Caenorhabditis elegans: one gene and its partner. The protein of the gene in region 2 interacts with the protein of the main gene of each other region in a pairwise test. Each region holds a gene or a part of one and is shown on either strand. Other genes may lie near its edges.

Region 1 (5,297 bases), on a different chromosome or scaffold from region 2:
ATTTTCCAGAAATTTTCAATTCCGGCAATTTACCCATTTTCCAGAAATTTTCAATTCCGGCAATTTACCCATTTTCCAGAAATTTTCAATTCCGGCAATTTGCCGATTCGCCGGAAATTTCAATTCCGGCAATTTGCCGCTTGCCGGATATTGTCAATTCCGGCAGTTTTCCGATTTGCCAGAAATTATCAATTCCGGCAATTTGTTAATTTTCCAGAAATTTTCAATTCCGGCAATTTGTTGATTTTCCAGAAATTTTCAATTCCGGCAATTTGTTAATTTTCCAAAAATTTTCAATTCCGGCAATTTGTTGATTTTCCAGAAATTTTCAATTCCGGCAATTTGTTAATTTTCCAGAAATTTTCAATTCCGGCAATTTGTTGATTTTCCAGAAATTTTCAATTCCGGCAAATTGTCGATATGCCAGAAATTTTCAATTCCGGCAATTTGCCGATTTTCCAGAAATTTTCAATTCCGGCAATTTGCCGATTCGCCGGAAATTTCAATTCCGGCAATTAGTCATTTTTTGCTCAATGTCAAGTATTCGATTGAAGTTTAATAATTTATGCATTAAAATAAAACAAAAACACATCCAACCAGGCAAAAAAACATTTTAAAAGCAATGATAATTTTGAACAATATTCGGCAAAGCAGGGCAGAGTCCGATGAAAATCCTTCATTCTTCGGATTATTCCGGTGGTGGCGCTGTCGGATTATAAACTGGCAAATTGTTGAAAACCGGGTATTTTGGAGCAAATGGTTGCTCATTTTCATCAGTGTTGAGCTCGGTTCCATCTTGTCCAAACATTGATTCTTCGTAGGATAGTGGTGGAGCTGGAAAAATTTGCAATTTTAGAGAATTGTGCTGGACTTCTGAGTAACTCACCACTTGGAATCACTACAGTACCATCATCTTTGCTAGGATATGGGACATTCGGAATAGGATACATTGGCATGCTGGCAGCTGGATATGATGCATCACCAGCTCCCTTCTCCGAGCCATCTGCCATCGGCAAGAATCCATACCCTGGTGGTGGAGCAACAACCCCTCCTCCAATCGGAGTTGGCAGGATCTGTGGAAGATTCGGATCCTGTGGATAGTAGGCTGGTGGAAGGAACTGCCGAATAGGCACTGTTCCAATCAGGATCCCCATTTCACAATCAACATCACTCCCGAATGTTGAGCTGGTCTCCACGTGGAATTGCACAATGTACTCTACAGTAATCACCGGTGAGAACTGATTGATGGTTGGAGTTACAGACGGAAGACGGAGCTCCATCGCAAATTTGTGCTCATTCCTGGGAGCCACTGTCATTTCCTGGCCATGCTTGACGACGGTCTTCGTGTCGTGTTTGGTTTCCTGAAGCTGTCCGGACATTCCAGTCTCATAGCCTCCGCCATAATGGAAGGTGGTACCGTTTCGATATGCAATGAACTTGCACTGCTGAATAATTTTCGCCTTGACTTCGGTGACGGGAACGGAGGAGTGATTTAGAATATGGATGTTCATGGGAACAGTCTCGCCGGGTACGAATCCAGTTTTCGGGATGTTTACACGAAGTTCGAGATATCCTTTTTTGAAGCAGCAACAGCCAAGGTTCTCGCTAGCCTGGTCGTTGATTTGGGTGAGTGCATGGGGGATCACATTGAGGTCGATCAGTGGGGAAACTGAAAATGTTTGAATTTTTGGCTTAGGCTTAGGCTTAGAATGTTAGTCTTAGACTTAGACCGTTAGGCTTAGGCTTAGGCGTAAGCTTCGGCTTAGGCCTAGGCTTATGCTTTGGCTTAGGCTTAGGCTTAGACAGTGGTCTAGATTTAGGCTTAGGCCTATGCTTAGGCTTAGGATCAAGGGTGTTCGTTTTTCGATTTTTTTGAAAATCGAAAAATGTTTAAAAAATTATCGTTTTTCTGATTTTGCGAAAATTTTTTAGATTTTCCAAAATATTAGCACAATATTTTGGCCATTATTCTTATTTTTAGAATTAATTTTGATGTTTTTTTCTCATCAATATAAGCAAAATTAGATTTTAAAAAAAATCATATTTTATGGTTAATTTTCTTAACATTCTTTTCGATTTTTCAATTTTCACTGAAAAAACATCGAAAAATCGAAAAATGCCACTCCTGCTTAGGATTAGTCTTAGACTTAGGCTTATGTTTAGATTGTTAGGTTTAGGCTTAGGCTTCAGCTGCGTAGGCTCAGGCTTAGGTTCAGGCTTAGATTGTCAGGCTTAGGCTTAAAACTGTAGCCCTTACCAGTGATGCATCGCTTCTTTGCCTTATCCAATCTCCATGGCCGATCCACTTCAGCTGTCACCGAGTATCTCAAATATCCATATTTTCCCTCAAAGCTTGGCGGAACGTTGAGAGGAAGATTATAAGAAAATGACCAGGCGTATTCTCCAGCTGCTAACTCGTTCTGACAAATATTCAGATATCTAATAATTGTAATTTTCAACCATTCTTCATTTTGAGCTACCGAAAATTTCAGCAAATCGGAAAATTGCCGGTTTGTTGACTTTGCCGGAAATTTGAAAAAACGGCATATTGCCGACTTAGCCGGAAATTTAAAAAAAAAACAGCAATTTGCAGAAAATTTGGAAAACGGCAATTGCCGAATATGCCGGAAATTTGAAAAAACGGCAATTTGTTGACTTTGCCGGAAATTCGAACAACGACAATTTGCCGACTTTGCCGGAAATTTAAAAAAAAAACAGCAATTTGCCGAAAATTTGGAAAACGGCAATTGCCGAACTTGATGTAAATATGAAAAAACGACAATATGCCGAATTAGCCGGAAACTTGAAAAACGGCAATATGCCATCTTTGCCGGAAATTTGGAAAGCGGCAGATTGTCAATTTGCCGGTTTGCCGATTTTGCCGGTTTGCCTATCTATCCCTGATTCAAAATACCCTACCGATCCATCTTTGCAAGCCCACAGAAGCAATGTATAATCCAGGTAGTTCACATTCGCAGAGTAGTGCACAGATTGCCGGTGGTGGCTCACTTTTCCGTCGGCGTCACTGGAAAATTCGAATTTTATAATTTTTTAGTGTTATTCGAAAATTCGGAAATATTTATTGATTATTCAATTTTCCATTTTAAAAAATTTGAAAAATAGCTTTTTCGTCAAAAAAAAAATGAAATTTTCTACAGAAATCTTAAATTTCTTACACTCTGCGAACACTCTCATAATCCGTCCAACTGGTGTGAGCCAATCCCAAAATTTTGATATTCACCGCCCGAGCCTTGTATTTTTCCTTCGTCGTTGAGAGCACCACTCGGCCGGAAATCGGTTGTCCCGGGAAGAAAACTTCGTTAGGCTGGTCGAATATCACGTGAAGCTCCGTTTCTGGCATGATAACCCTGGAACTTAGACAAAAATCGTTAAAAAATCGTTAAAAAATTCAAAAAACCGGAAGAAAATCGGTGGAGAGAACACTGAAAATTTAAAAAAAAACGAATTTTTGATTTTTAATATTTTATTTTAAAAAAATAGAAAAAAATTATGCATTTTAATTGAAAAGGAAAGGAAAAAAACAATTTAATTTAATTCAAAAAAAAGGAGCGAAATAAATTTTGCAGAAATTGTCATAAAATGTGGTGTTTGCGTACTTGAGAAGGAGTGTGCGCCTTTAAAGAGTACTGTAGTTTCAAAATTTCTTTTTTAATTGATTTTAGTTTTCAATAACTAATAAACACATTTTCGATAAAAAAAATGTATTAATTTATGGAAAACATGAATATAGCAAAAAAAACTCTCAAATATAAAAATAAAACTATGAAAAATCCATAGAAATTTGAAATCGCTGCAGCAACAAAAGTTTGAAATTACAGTACGCTTTAAAGGCGAACGCCTTTTCCTTTCTATCAAGAATTTGTCGTGTTGAGACCGGTGTTTGGTATTTGTGGCTCAAAAATCGCGAAATCTCGTGTCTGGGTAATAGAATAAATTTTAAAAGTTCAAATTAAAAAAAAATTAATAACTGATTCTAATTTCTTAAACGATTTTTTACTAGATTTTTTTTTACAATTTCATGAAAATTACGGAATAGCCGCTCGAAACAAAGCAAACAGACACATGCAGTATTGAAGGTCAAAAAAATCGCACTCCGCAAGAGCCGCAGAGAAATAAAGGGAACAGCGAGGATAAAAGAACGGGGCAAAGACCAACGTTTTTCCATTAAACTTGTGAAAAAGAAACGTTGCTCACAAACAGGAAGAATTGATAAGCTAAACGGAAGAAGACATAGGAGAAGCATTACTGATTAAATAGGAAATAGTGATAAAATTTCTGACATTCGGGAAAGTTAATTTGTAAGGTCAAACAACGGAGAAAAATATGCTAGAAATGGCCGAACCCGGGGTGGGCGGCAAACGATTTTTCCGGCAAATCGGCAAATTGCCGGAATTGAAAAAAAAATCCGGCAAATAGGGGAACCGGCAAACTGCCGATTTGCCGAAATTTTAGGAAAATCGGCAAATTGTCGGAATTGAAATTTCCGGCAAATCGGGAAATTGCCGGAATTGAAAAAAAAAATCCGGCAAATAGGGGAACCGGCAAACTGCCGATTTGCCGAAATTTTAGGAAAATCGGCAAATTGTCGGAATTAATAATTTCCGGCAAATCGGCAAATTGCCGGTATTTGAATTTTCGGCTAAGCGGCACATTGCCGGAATTAAAAATATCCGTCAAATTGGCTAATTGCCATAATTGAAATTTCCGGCAAATCAGGAAATCGGCAAATTGCAAATTTTGAAAAAAAAAAGGAAAAATTGAAAATATCCGGCAAATCGGGGAACCGGCGAATTGACGATTTGCCGAAATTTTAGGAAAATCGGCAACTTGCCAAAAATGAAAAATCCCGGCAAATCGGCACATTGCCGGAATTTAAAATTTGTCGGAAAAACGACAATTTGTCGGAATTGAAATTTCCGGCAAATGGGCAAATTGGCAAAAAAGGTCAAACAATGGAGAAAAATAGCTTTAAAACATGCTAAAAATAAAAAAAATTCATTAATTTCATCGTCCGTTTTTATAGGACCAGTTTTTTTTTAAATAGAATTTCAAAACCCAGCCTATTATATATTTGTTAGGAATAAATGCAAAATCGGGGTGACTAACACACACTACTCAGAAAAATATTTCCTCAGACAAAACTGTTAAGTAAAAAAAAAACTAAAGAACTAAAAAAAAAAAAAAAAAAAACTAAACTCTAGCCTAAATCCCTGAAACCTCAATTCCTATTGTTAATTTCTTGTTAGTTACACTATTTTAGAAGGTATTGAACAAAA
Region 2 (4,762 bases):
TTGAAACATTTCAATAAATGCACAATTTCTTTCCAATGTTGTGCATTTTCAGAAGAAACCAATGTACCTGTGTGATAAGCTGAATGGGTGGTCCTGTATTTGTTGGTGTAGATGGTCTTCCATTCTGATGATTGTTGTTTGTACTGTTCGTTCGTTGGCTTGATTGTATCTTTTCTGAAAATTTATGAATATTTTCTCCAATTTTGTTAGAATTTCATTCAATTGCCGAAATTTGGTTACGGTAATTGTTGTTAAAGGTGGAGTACTGAAATCTAAGAAATATTTTTAATTGACTCAAAATTTGCCCCTGATTCCGAATATTTATGTGAAAAAAATATAAATCAAATATAACATCAGATAATTTTTTTGAATTTTTTCACACATTCGTTATTCAGGGGCAATTTGGAGTCAATTAAAAATAATTCCCAGATTTCGGTATTCCACCCTTAAGATGATTTTTTGTGATATCTGATCACTGAGCAGTTGCCTCATGCATGCTCATCGGAAAATCATTAAATTTTATTTATCTCTACACCCACAAAACTTTAAAAAAAAGTTCATGTTCATAAATCATAGTTCTTTGTGAAAGGCGTTGTGCCAGGAATCGAGTGGCACCAGATGTTTCGAAAGGATCCGAAAATCCAACTGTGCGGGGGTTCTGATCATCTTTTTTCGTTGAAATTCGAGATAAGAAAGAAAATGATGATATTTTCTGATGAGCAGCGAGGAAGAAAATGTCTGGGAAAATAATATTCTTTGTTTCAAAGTTGTCAATTTTGACATCGATGATTTGACAAGGACAGATTCTGTCTGGGAAGAGTTCCAAAGTATTGTTTTTGAAATGATTGTTCCTATTTTGCAAAAATGAAAAATACGGCAGAATTCAATTTAAATTCCCGCGCAAACGAGTGACATTTTTCAGGAATTCTTCTGTAAAGAAAACCTAGTAATCGGAAGAAAGAAAATCGCTGAGAAACTTTCCAAACAAACAATTTTAAATAATCATTAACAAATCAATACATTTTTCTATCGTTATATGCGTTATTTTTGAAAGTTCTAAATTTGTTCTTTTGGTATTTCTGAATTTCTGAATATCTTGGATAATTTAAAGCCGTTTTTGGTATTTCAAAATCCCTAATACTAATTTTTAATGCTACTTTTAAAATGTTAAACGAGATTTTTTTCCTTCATTTCTCATATGCAAACATTGAAAGTTCAAAAAGTTGCGGTACTCCCTCCGACCGTGAGCTGCGTATTTATGCATGACACATTGCCTGAGGGGAGATTATTTGCAAATAAATCAAAACCAGCTGCCCTCGCCTTTTTTTCCTTTTTCGCAAAAGTTCAACTCACTTTGCTGTCTATCGACAAGTTTGATAGCCGCGTTCGTAAATCGGAAAATATTGGCGAATTTCGGGGTAAAGGAGAAATTATGAGTTTTTTTTTTGAAATATTGAAATGCACACAAGAATGGGAAATCAGAAGCGTGGGGTGGTTTCCGACTGATGATTGAAGTTTTTGATGGATAAAAATGAAAGAGATGGAAGATTTGGTGTAATAACTGGAACACTACCACTGAAGAGAAAGAGAAATAAAGAAAAAATGAAGATGAAAACACTCATTTCGTTTTCTAGAAAACATAAAAGCGGCGTTATTAATTACTCGAAATTTTGAACTTTTCTATGATTAAGAACATTTTTCAATTGTTAAATAATAGAAGATAGTCTAAAATTATCGAATATGCCTATAAAGTGTTTAAAATTTTGTCTTTTTTTTTGCAAAACTTTCAAATTTTCGCACAAACTGGTTACTGTAACAAGACCAAATTTCCTTTTTTTCTTTAGCTTTTTCTTGTGGAAATTTTCAAAAAAAAATTTTTAACATGTCTTTATATTAAATTTTTCTGGAATTTCAAAAATTTGTCGCTTAAAATAAACAAAACAATTTTTTAAAATTTTTTCAGTCTATTTTGTTATAGGAAAGTGTGAAAAGCATACAGAAATTCCAGGAAATTTTTTTTACAAATAATGTTATTTAAAAAAATTTATTGAGTTACAGTAACCGTTTTTGGTGGCAATTTAACAAATAATTCAGAAATTTGAAAAAAAATTTGCAAAATTGAAGGAAAACTCCCGAAAAAAGATAAATTTTTGTAGTCAAATTGGATCATTTCAGACTACATCCATTTTCTCTTCAGAAATTGAAAATTCATTTTTTTAATTAAATTTTTTTTAGTGAACTCTTGGAGCATTCTACATAACTTAAATAACCCCAAATTTTTAAAAGAATTTTGATAATTTTAAAATGAAAAATCACATACCAATCTCTCTGGGTGGAGTCACACAACAGAAAAGTGTCTGAAAACAGCGTGCCCATCTTGGTTTCCTTCTCGCTGTTGATCGCTTTTTCTCGATTGATGCTGAAACTGATACAAAATATTAATTACAAAAAAAAAAACAATTCAGTTTATTTTTAAATTAACTTTTCACATTCCCGGTTATCTCACCATTGGCTGAAAATGAATTTAACGGTGTACTAGCCGTATCATCATCTTTTCTTGATGTTCCACCCCAAACTACATTTTTTGGGTTTTCTCCTCCACCATCTCGATTCATTTTCCCTCCATTTTTCTCATCTTTTGTAAGTTTTGCACGTGGCATTGCGGGAATATTACGGTAGATTCCAACTGGAGGACTCATCACAGATTCTGGTGTATTCTGTGGAAATGGTGGATATCTAAGACCATTTTGTGGTGATGATGTCGATGGTGTGAATCCATTTATTGTTGACCTTCCCACAGGATTTGGTTTTACAGGTTTCATTTTCCTCTGTGGTGGTGGAAATTGAATATTATGACGACTGTAGTAACACGTTATTCCAGACTTTTCATCTTCCGATTTACTCCAATAGTCCAAACTGTTGGCACCGTTTTTTGGTTGAAGTGGTTGCGATGCGGATCCTTTCCGCACGCCATCTTTCAACATCGGCGGACCAACTGGAGTACGTGGTGGAGGCACAATCGACGAGTAGACGACGGCGGATCGAGTCGATTCAGCGTAGGTCATCCGATGATTATGATGACTGGGGAAGAAGGTGGATGATGGAGGATCGACGAGATATTTCTTGAAATAAGGAAATGGGGTTTTGGAATATGATAAGTTTGATGTTCGAAGAGAAATAGAGATTAATAAGAAAATTGAAGAAGTAGAATATTTGAAACATTACGAAGTGGGCGGAAATCGTTTTTTTTAAATCAATTCGATAATCGACAATTCGAATTTTTTAGAAAAATGATTCAAAAAAATTAATGATCAAAACTTATTAAAAATATGAGGATTTTGATCTCTGGTAATCGGAACTTTTTTCCGATAACTATTGTCAAATTTCAAATTTTCAAAATTTTATTCATTTCCGAATAATAGAATTGCCGCCCAAACTCTAGACATATTGAGAGAAAGAAAAAATAATAAAAATATGAGGAAACAATTTTGTTATTGTTGAAAAGTCCATGGCAAGAATTTATGGGGAAGTGGTTGGCTAATAAAAAAAACAGACAGGTGTGTGTTTTGATGGGAGAGTCTCTGGAGAGAACTAAATCTGTTTTCTTGTCTCACATAAGATACATAGAATGTTTGTTCGTTTCAACGCATAAACGGGGCAAAACCCAAACATATCTAATTTCAATGGTTTTAGAAACATTGACATTCAAGGGGTTTCAGAGGTGAAAAGAGCAGAGAACAAAGAAGAAGAAAAAGAAGAACTAGCTTCTTCAGAAACACAAATTATCTGAGGTATCCCGAGGGCAGAGGTGAAGTGCTTGTTGAAATGAGCACGCAAACTACTCTCTTTCTGTTTCTCTTTTCTCGTATCTTTCCCCTAAATCATCTGCTGCTCCCAGAGCACAGTCTGGTTATTGCAAAGAACGCGGCGCCTTCCGTGCGCGCTGCTGCCAAAATGTGCAAAAGAAGTGCTTGACAAAGAACAAATAAGCATTGCCGTATGCCGTATGCCGCGTGAGGGTAAAGGCGCGACGTGTGTGTATATACCATAAGTAATATAAACTTGCTGCTCACTTCAACGAGTACTTGCTCACCGATTAGTGGCGGATCATGAAGGGCGCGGAAGTCGGCGGCAGGTCTCACATGTTGGCAATGTGCCAATCACGTTGAGCTTTTGAAAAGCAACGCCCAGAGAGCTCAAAAGAGCTGCTACTGAACATAAAAATAGATTCGGGTGCATGAGGTGGACGTCAATCATCATAATAAGAGTTTATATACACGCTTTTAGAAAGAAATAAGGACCACGATGAAAGGAAATGTCGTGGAGCAAAAGAAAGGAGCAGGCGTCACTCAACAAGGTCGCTCTCACGGCGACTTTCTTCACGCTTCAAATGGCTTTTCCTTTGATGGACTCGATTCATGATGGAGCAGGAAATGGGAAAATAAATATTTAGAGAGGTCAAGGGTCTCCAGAAAAATATTCAAAAATACCTTATGGTCTAAAAAGCTATGCCATTGTTTTTCACAAGAATTACATCGCTTCTCTCGGTTACCAAGGAAACCTTTTGAAACGGATTAACGGTAATAGAATTCAGAATATTGTGCCTCGTGTGTACTTTAAAATTAGATATTTAAATATTTTTCCATATTCTATTTCCCTTCGAAAAACATCCAAAATCTGCTCAGAAACGTCTTAAAAGAAATTCAAAAAGCAATAAAACTCACAAGATTTGTTGTTTTGAACGTGTCTGGTGGCCGCCGCA

The links.
Region 1: the proteins of scpl-1 (region 2) and arrd-13 interact in a two-hybrid assay, tested with the Caenorhabditis elegans proteins (one large-scale study listed by BioGRID).

Annotation. Positions count from the first base shown.
Region 1 is NC_003280.10:13,756,485-13,761,781, reverse strand, and holds arrd-13 (Arrestin C-terminal-like domain-containing protein), read right to left. Parts: upstream 3,375-5,297; 5' UTR 3,362-3,374; coding exon 3,177-3,361; intron 3,026-3,176; coding exon 2,920-3,025; intron 2,421-2,919; coding exon 2,258-2,420; intron 1,670-2,257; coding exon 887-1,669; intron 835-886; coding exon 689-834; 3' UTR 547-688; downstream 1-546.
Region 2 is NC_003279.8:10,091,359-10,096,120, forward strand, and holds the start of scpl-1 (CTD small phosphatase-like protein 1), read right to left. Parts: upstream 3,123-4,762; 5' UTR 3,066-3,122; coding exon 2,507-3,065; intron 2,420-2,506; coding exon 2,321-2,419; intron 1,421-2,320; exon of another isoform or gene 1,304-1,420; intron 175-1,303; coding exon 68-174; intron 1-67. UniProt on the Caenorhabditis elegans protein: Phosphatase which may play a role in the egg laying muscles.